Macaca mulatta: one gene and its partner. Each later gene encodes a partner of the first gene's protein in a complex. Links are inferred from orthologs where the notes say so. Each region holds a gene or a part of one and is shown on either strand. Other genes may lie near its edges.

Region 1 (3,570 bases):
GATGGCAGAGGCCTGGCAGCACACCGCCCTCGCAGTGGGGCTCCTGGGCAATGCAGAACAGGATACTGGATGCTGGAGCGGCACTGCACAGACTGTAAGCACTGAGAGGGCAGACACCATGTCTGCTGGATCACCACTGAGTCCTCACAGCCTGGCACAATGCTAGGCACGTAACAGCTCTCAGCAAAAATGTTTTGTTTTGTTTTGTTTTGTTTTGAGATGGAGTCTCGCTCTGTTGCCCAGCATGGAGTACAGTGGTGTGATCTCGGCTCACTGCAGCCTCCGCCTCCTGGGTTCAAGCAATTCTCCTGCCTCAGCCTCCTAAGTAGCTGGGATTACAGGTGCATGCCGCCATGCCTGGCTAATTTTTGTATTTTTAATAGAGATGGGGTTTTGCCATGTTGGCCACGCAGGTCTCGAACTGCTGACCTCCGGTGATCTGCCCACCTTGGCCTCCCAAAGTGTAGGAATTATAGGGGTGAGCCACCACGCCTGCCCACAAAATGTTTTGATTATGTGAATGAGTGATAAAAATTAGCCATCGTTCAAGCATATTTGTGAATAAGGCTAGCTTTAAATCCGATTTTTAAAACACAGAGAAGAGGACTCAAGTCAGTGTTTATATGCCTATCCTCGTCAGCAGACACTCATCCAAGGGAACACTGTTATGAGCCTCACTTAATCCCGGGCCAGCCTCGTCGCGGTGGTGCCGTCTACACCATTAGAGAACCCCACGGACACCACACAGAGAGGGAGAGGAGCAGTTCCTCTGGGAAAAGAGGGTGCTGGGCATATAGCAGCAAACAACGTCCACGTGGCCTCACAGCAGAAGGTGGTATTCAAACCAGGGGTTCCTACCTTAACACCCTAGAGCAATGACAACACTCATTTGGAAAAAGTGCTTCTATGTGGTTATCTCAATAAATTCTTGCATCTATTCGCTGAGGGAGGCAGGACAAGCATCGTCACCCCCATTTTCAGATAAGGAAATGCTACGTTTTCTGTGTTACAGAAGCAGAAGCTGTACGAGCCAGTGGTGATCCCTGTGGGCAGGCTGTTTCGACCAAATGAGAGACAAGTGGCTCAGCTGGCCAAGAAGGATTACCTAGGCAAGGCGACGGTAGGTGTCCCCTGAGTCTCCTGTGGCCTGGGCCATGTGGAGCAAGGTGGGAGGGACTCTTGAGAAGAGGGCAGCCTCCTTGTGGCTCTGTCCCTGGGATGGCAACAAGAGACTTGTTTATAGGACAGAGGTTTGGCTGAAAGATAGGCAACCACTTCTAGTTTATTTTCTCCAGGCTGCTCCCATTCCTCCCTTCCAGCTTGACCCTGGGTGAGAGCCATAGGGTTCCCCACAGGATGCTGAGTCTTGGGGACTGAGCCAGTGGAGGGAAAACACAGCCATGAGGAGCTCACTAAATGTGAAGAGAAGGCCAGGCAGGGTGGCTCATGCCTGTAATCCTAGCGCTTTGGGAGGCTGAAGTGGGAGGATCACTTGTGGCCAGGAGTTTGAGACCAGCCTAGCTAGTGGAGAGGCTGTGAGGCGAAAGGGTCACTTGAGCCCAGGAGTTCAAGGCTACAGTGAACTATGATTGCACCACTGTACTCTAGCCTGGGCAACAGAGTGAGACTCTGTTTCTAAATAATAAAAACAAATATGGAAAGAATATGTTGGGGAAAGAGATCAGCATGGGTTCCTCTTGGATTAATGCTCCTTGTAGTTCACGTGTTAGTGGGCTGAGGAGTGTTTCCCTACTTCCACAGCCCTGTGTTTAGACTATGTCTTAAATTGCACTTCTTCTAAATCCAGGTCTTGGCCGGGCGTCGTGGCTCACGCCTGTAATCCCAGCACTTTGGGAGGCCGAGGCAGGTGAATCATGAGGTCAGGAGTTCAAGACTAGGCTGGTCAACATGGTGATACCCCGTCTCTACTAAAAATACAAAATTAGCCAGGTGCTGCGGTGCATGCCTGTAGTCCCAGCTACTTGGGAGGCTGAGGCAGGAGAATCGCTTGAACCTGGAAGGCGGAGGCTGCAGTGAGCCGAGATTGCGCCACTGCACTCCAGCCTGGGCAACAGAGCATGACTCTGTCTCAAAACAAAACAAAACAAAACAAAAAACAAAAAAGGGTAATTTGACGTTACACAAATTGCACCTCAATAAAAACATTTGTTTTTAGAGAGGAGAAAGCAAGCCTCTGTTAGCAGGGGTTGGGTGAATACTCGTTTCCTCAGTTGCTGAAATCCTAATCCAGAGGATCAGGAATCTAATCCTCAGTTACTGTCCACGTCTGAAACCAGGCTCAAGTGAGAACCGGTCTAGGGCATGAGCAAGGAGGGAGAGCCAGAAGAATGGAAACCGTGCTGGCAGAGCCTCACACCCTCCTGTCCTTGATTTCAGGTTGTGGCGTCTGTAGTGGATCATGACAGTTTCTCTGGGTTTGCCCCTCTGCAACCACAGGTGAGGCAATCCTGACCTTCTCCATGGACCTAGGTCTCAAGAGCTTTCTGTGAAGCATTCGATTCGAGAGACTATGTGTGCTGAGCTGCCTTATTGAAAGGGCTCCTTCAAGTGGCCCTCAGTGCAGCTGAGGGATCTGCCTGCCCTCTCTCAGTCCTGGGTTCCATGGCTGGTAAGGAAATAAGGCAGTGTCAGGCTTCACCCCAAGTCCTCTGAAGCTAACTCTCCTGCCTCCCCACAAATGCCAGTCTTCACGTCTCTAAAGAGATCTGCTGATACTCTCTCTGAAGCCTCAACCATTCTCTCAGGAAGGTGAAACACAAGTTATGGAAGGCTTGTTAACAAAGCCTCTTCTTGAGTACGGGGCAAGTGGGGAACCCTGTGGGGCCTGGGTCTGAGGTTTGGGCTCTCCTGGCTCTACCCATCTGCTCATGTGCAGGCGTTTCCTTCGGGAACACAGGCAGGGCGCTGAGAGTGAACCTTTTTCTGTCCAAACTGGGCTTGGAGAGGTGGGCTCAGATGAACTGGATGACAGTGGATCTAGAAATGCAGACAGAGATTCCTTGCGAAGGGAAGAGGGGAAAACGCATTGAGGAAAATAGGAACTCTGTGGCAATGAAACTGTGATGGTGAAGAGCATTGGTCAGCACCAGCAGAGGGCGGGTTTTCTGAGCAGGGGCAGGTATGTTCCAGATCTAGATTCCTTGATCTCTTTCTTCACAATAAAGCTGATGAAAGCCTTGCTGAAGTCCCTTGAGCTTCAGTTCAGCCAGAGGCCATGAAGGGAACGCAGCCCAGGTCACTGGATCCCTTGGTATTCAGTGTAGAACAGGGGAGGAGATTCTTGCCCAGTCAGTGGAATCCTGTGTCAATTTTAAATACTCAGAAGTGGCCAGGCGCAGTGGCTCATGCCTGTAATCCCATCATTTTTGGGAGGTTGAGGTGAGCAGATCACTTGAGGCCAGGAATTCCAGACCAGTCTGGCCAACATGGTGAAACTCCCATCCCTACTAAAAATACAAAAATTAGCAGGGTGTGGTGGCACATGCCTGTAATTCCAGCAACATGGGATGCTGAGGCAGGAGAATCACTTGAACGAGGGAGGCAGAAGTT
Region 2 (3,570 bases), on another chromosome or scaffold:
AGCCCCCGACGCACGTTTCTCCACCAGAGCTTCGCCGCTGTTCGACAGGTCCAAACGTGAACGTCACCTCCACTCCTGCCGTATTGTTTGGGCTCACCCAGTTCTCCCCTGGAGGTGGCACTCCCTCTGTCCCTCCTGTGTGGAGACATGCATTGAAAATGACTGTCTCCAACAACCCGGGACTTTAAAGCGAGGCAAACAAACGCACACCAGGAACTTGTTCATCAAGTCTCAAAAACACCAGTATTACCAGTTGTATGATTCAAGGATTTATTAAGTCATACATGCAAAACATAATGCTAACTGCATTAGCAAAAGATCAATGTAAAAACACTCCACAATTCTGCAACTGTCAATTTAAAAAATCCTGTTGTCGTGGCTGAAAGGTTCCGCGTTGTATTCTTGCCGGTGAGTTAAGTTGTACAGAACATTGTCAGCACTAGCACAGTTTACAGAACCTCACAGACCCAAAGGAACATCATTAGGCAAAGCGACTACAGGAGGCGTGTGTCTGCGTGGGCGAGGTAAAGAGGGTCAGTATTGGTCAAGTGACAGTGTCAGTAATCTGGCAAGACAGTGATGTTAAGAAGGTTCATAGTTTAAGAATTATCTAAAATATTTTAAAAACTATAAAGCTGCAACACATGATTTTTACACCTAGTTACTAGAAAACTAAGGAAAGCACTTATTAGCTTTGAATAAAGTAACATGGAAAGCACTTTTACTCATCTACAAAAAAACCTTCTAATGCATTATCAGAAAGATTTTATAATACAAGGAGGCATATTGCTCAGTAAGAAGGGGTCCTATAAGAAAAGCACTTACTAAGTTAGCGACTAAGGGAACGACCAGTTTAAAGATGAATTAAATGCCCAATTTGGGGAGGGATGGCAGGTGTAAGAGAAAGGAAAAGCTTAAGAACATTTCCTGATAATACCAACCTTTCTTTCATCATCTACTGCATTTGACAGAAATTAACCTTTTAGAGTTTTTACCCGTGACACTTTTGTTCCTTGTACAATGTAGTGTAAATCTCCACTTCGTATTTTGTCAAAATACTGTCTTTGTCCTTTGATCACACACACCCCACCCGGCACACCCACAGCTAAACAGAATTCTTCATTAGAGGAAACACGAGTTCTGTTCAAAATCTCCGCAAGAGCTGGTCAGAAAACTCACTATGAAATCAAAAAGACTGATCCAAAGAGCTGAGCTGTTACACTCACTCCATTACAGTACAATGTTATGTCGTGAACATGGGCCGCTAAATCACTGGTGAGTTCAATGGCAACGCACCATTCGGGAGGCTGTTCTGCTTTACACATCTGAGAACTACTGAGCAAGTGTCTGCATCTCCTAACTGCAGAGGCTACAGTCTTCTCAAAGACGAAGGTCCTTACACAGTTTAGTGCTTGGTGTTCTTAGCACAACAATGCAGTGTAGTTCAGAAGGTATTTTGGCAACTCTTAATCTGAGCAAGAATAGGGTGGGCTTTTGAAAAATAAGGCTTTAAGAAGGTTTGTCATTTTAGGGCTAAATTTTAATAGAATGTGAGTCTGAACTCTTACATTTAGAACAAACAAAAACCTTCAAATTACTGATTGGTTCAAAATGGTTTTATGGAAAAATCAATCTGTAACAAAAAGTTGGCATTGAGTGCGAAGGCTCCACCGTTTTTTTTTTTTTTTTTGAGCAAAGCGTACAAAGGTTCCAAGGGACAGGACCAAGAACGAGGGGCTCAGACGTTTACAACAGCAGGCATTTTCTCTTCCTCTTCTTCACGGGAGGTGGGCAGAGGACTGCTCGGATCGCTTCGTCAAACACTGTCTTGAGGCCTCGCTGTGTGAGCGCCGAGCACTCCAGGTATTTCACAGCACCTACAGGAAAACACAACCACACAGCAGTGTACACTTGAGCCCACTCTCTTCTGATCACAACACCGGCGGGAGGCAGCTCCGGGGGCCTGGGCACTTTCTGCCGGCTCCCAGCCCTGCGTCCACCTTCCAACGCTGACATTAAGACCCAGAAGGCGATGCCAGCTGGTTCCCCAAGAGTACAACCAGGCCCTGAGTGGGAGACACACACCCTCCTTTCCCAGACTGGACTCCAGTCTCTGTCACTACAATAAAAGAGGTACAAGGCAGAGGAAAAACGCAGGATTCCATACCAATCTCCTTAGCCATGGCTAGACCCTGTGGATAGGTGATGGGAGTCAGCTTCTTCTCCTTCAGTTTCTCGATCGTGTCTTTATCATCCCTAAGATCAAGTTTAGTTCCCACTAGGATGATGGGAGTGTTGGGACAGTGGTGCCGCACCTCAGGATACCACTAGATGTGAAGAAGGAACAGAGGTTGTGATGTGCTCCTTTACAGACGCCCTTCACCTAAATCACACCCAGCCGGCGGCACTTGTGCCAGACACCTAACCTCAGGCACAGCCTCCCCACCGAGCCTTCATGTGGTTCCCACCTTCAATCTGAGCCTTGAGCCATAAGAAACATCTCAGGTGTTCCATGAGCAAGCTAGGACTCTGGATCATGGCCGGACAGAACCACGACCAGAGAGAATGGGCTCTACAACCGCAAGGGAAGAGGCGGAAGGGAAGAGAGTTCCTCCCAAAGCAAATAAACCACTTTGTTTTTGGTAAAACAAGTTCTTAGGGTCATCTGAGAAAATTCATCATCTGTTCAGAAACGAGAATAAACTACCTAGCCCAAGGTCTCAGGTCTGCCGCCATTATCCCCACTGAAAATGTCCCTACTGAAGGGCCTGTCTCGTCATTTTCACTAAGAAGTTTGTGAAAGAGACTGGAGTAGAAAGAAATGGTGGTTAGTTTTATTAGACCAATTCTGAGTGCCTCATTATTTTAATGAGGTCCAGGAAACTTCTGAACCAGAACCTGAAGCTTTAAAAATCCACATATTAGGCCAGGCACAGTGGCTCACATCTGAAATCCCAGCACTTTGGGAGTTTGAGGTGGGTGGGTCACTTGAGGCCAGCGGTTTGAGACCAGTCTGGGAAACATGGTGAAACCCCGTCTCTACTAAAAGTACAAAAATTAGCCAGGTGTGGTGGCGGGCGCCTGTAATCCCAGCTACTCAGGAGGCTGAGACAGGAGAATCGCTTGAACCGGGAGGTGGAGGTTGCAGTGAGCCAAGATCGTGCCACTGCACTCCAGCCTGGGTGACAGTGCAAGACTCCATCTCAAAAATAAATAAATAAAAATAAACTGCTGATGGCTCAGGCGCAGTGGCTCACACCCATAATCCCAGCACTTTGGGAGGCTGAAGTGGAAGGATCACTTCAGCCCAGGAGTTTGAGACCAGCCAGGGTGTACAAAACCAGCGCTACAAAAAATTTTTAAAGATTAGCCAGGCACAGCGGCGCACGTTTACTGTCCCAGCAACACAGGAACGGAGGCAGGAGAACTGCAGGAGAACTGTTTGAGCCCAGGAGCTCAAGGCTACAGTGAGCTCCGATGTCACCACCACACTCCAGCCTGGACAACAGGGTGAGACCCCTGTCTCAAAAGAATAAAAAACCCAATCATGTACTTAAGTAGCAAATTCCT

The links. Proteins that work in one complex are often made in the same cells at the same time.
Region 2: NCF2 (region 1) and RAC1 share a complex: the UniProt entries of both Homo sapiens proteins name them as parts of the phagocyte NADPH oxidase complex. The link is inferred for Macaca mulatta from reciprocal best matches to the Homo sapiens genes NCF2 and RAC1.

Annotation. Positions count from the first base shown.
Region 1 is NC_133406.1:41,052,844-41,056,413, reverse strand, and holds part of NCF2 (neutrophil cytosol factor 2), read left to right. Parts: intron 1-1,012; coding exon 1,013-1,120; intron 1,121-2,397; coding exon 2,398-2,457; intron 2,458-3,570. UniProt on the Homo sapiens protein: Subunit of the phagocyte NADPH oxidase complex that mediates the transfer of electrons from cytosolic NADPH to O2 to produce the superoxide anion (O2(-)).
Region 2 is NC_133408.1:44,608,835-44,612,404, forward strand, and holds the end of RAC1 (ras-related C3 botulinum toxin substrate 1), read right to left. Parts: intron 2,328-3,570; coding exon 2,168-2,327; intron 1,878-2,167; coding exon 1,747-1,877; 3' UTR 257-1,746; downstream 1-256. UniProt on the Homo sapiens protein: Plasma membrane-associated small GTPase which cycles between active GTP-bound and inactive GDP-bound states.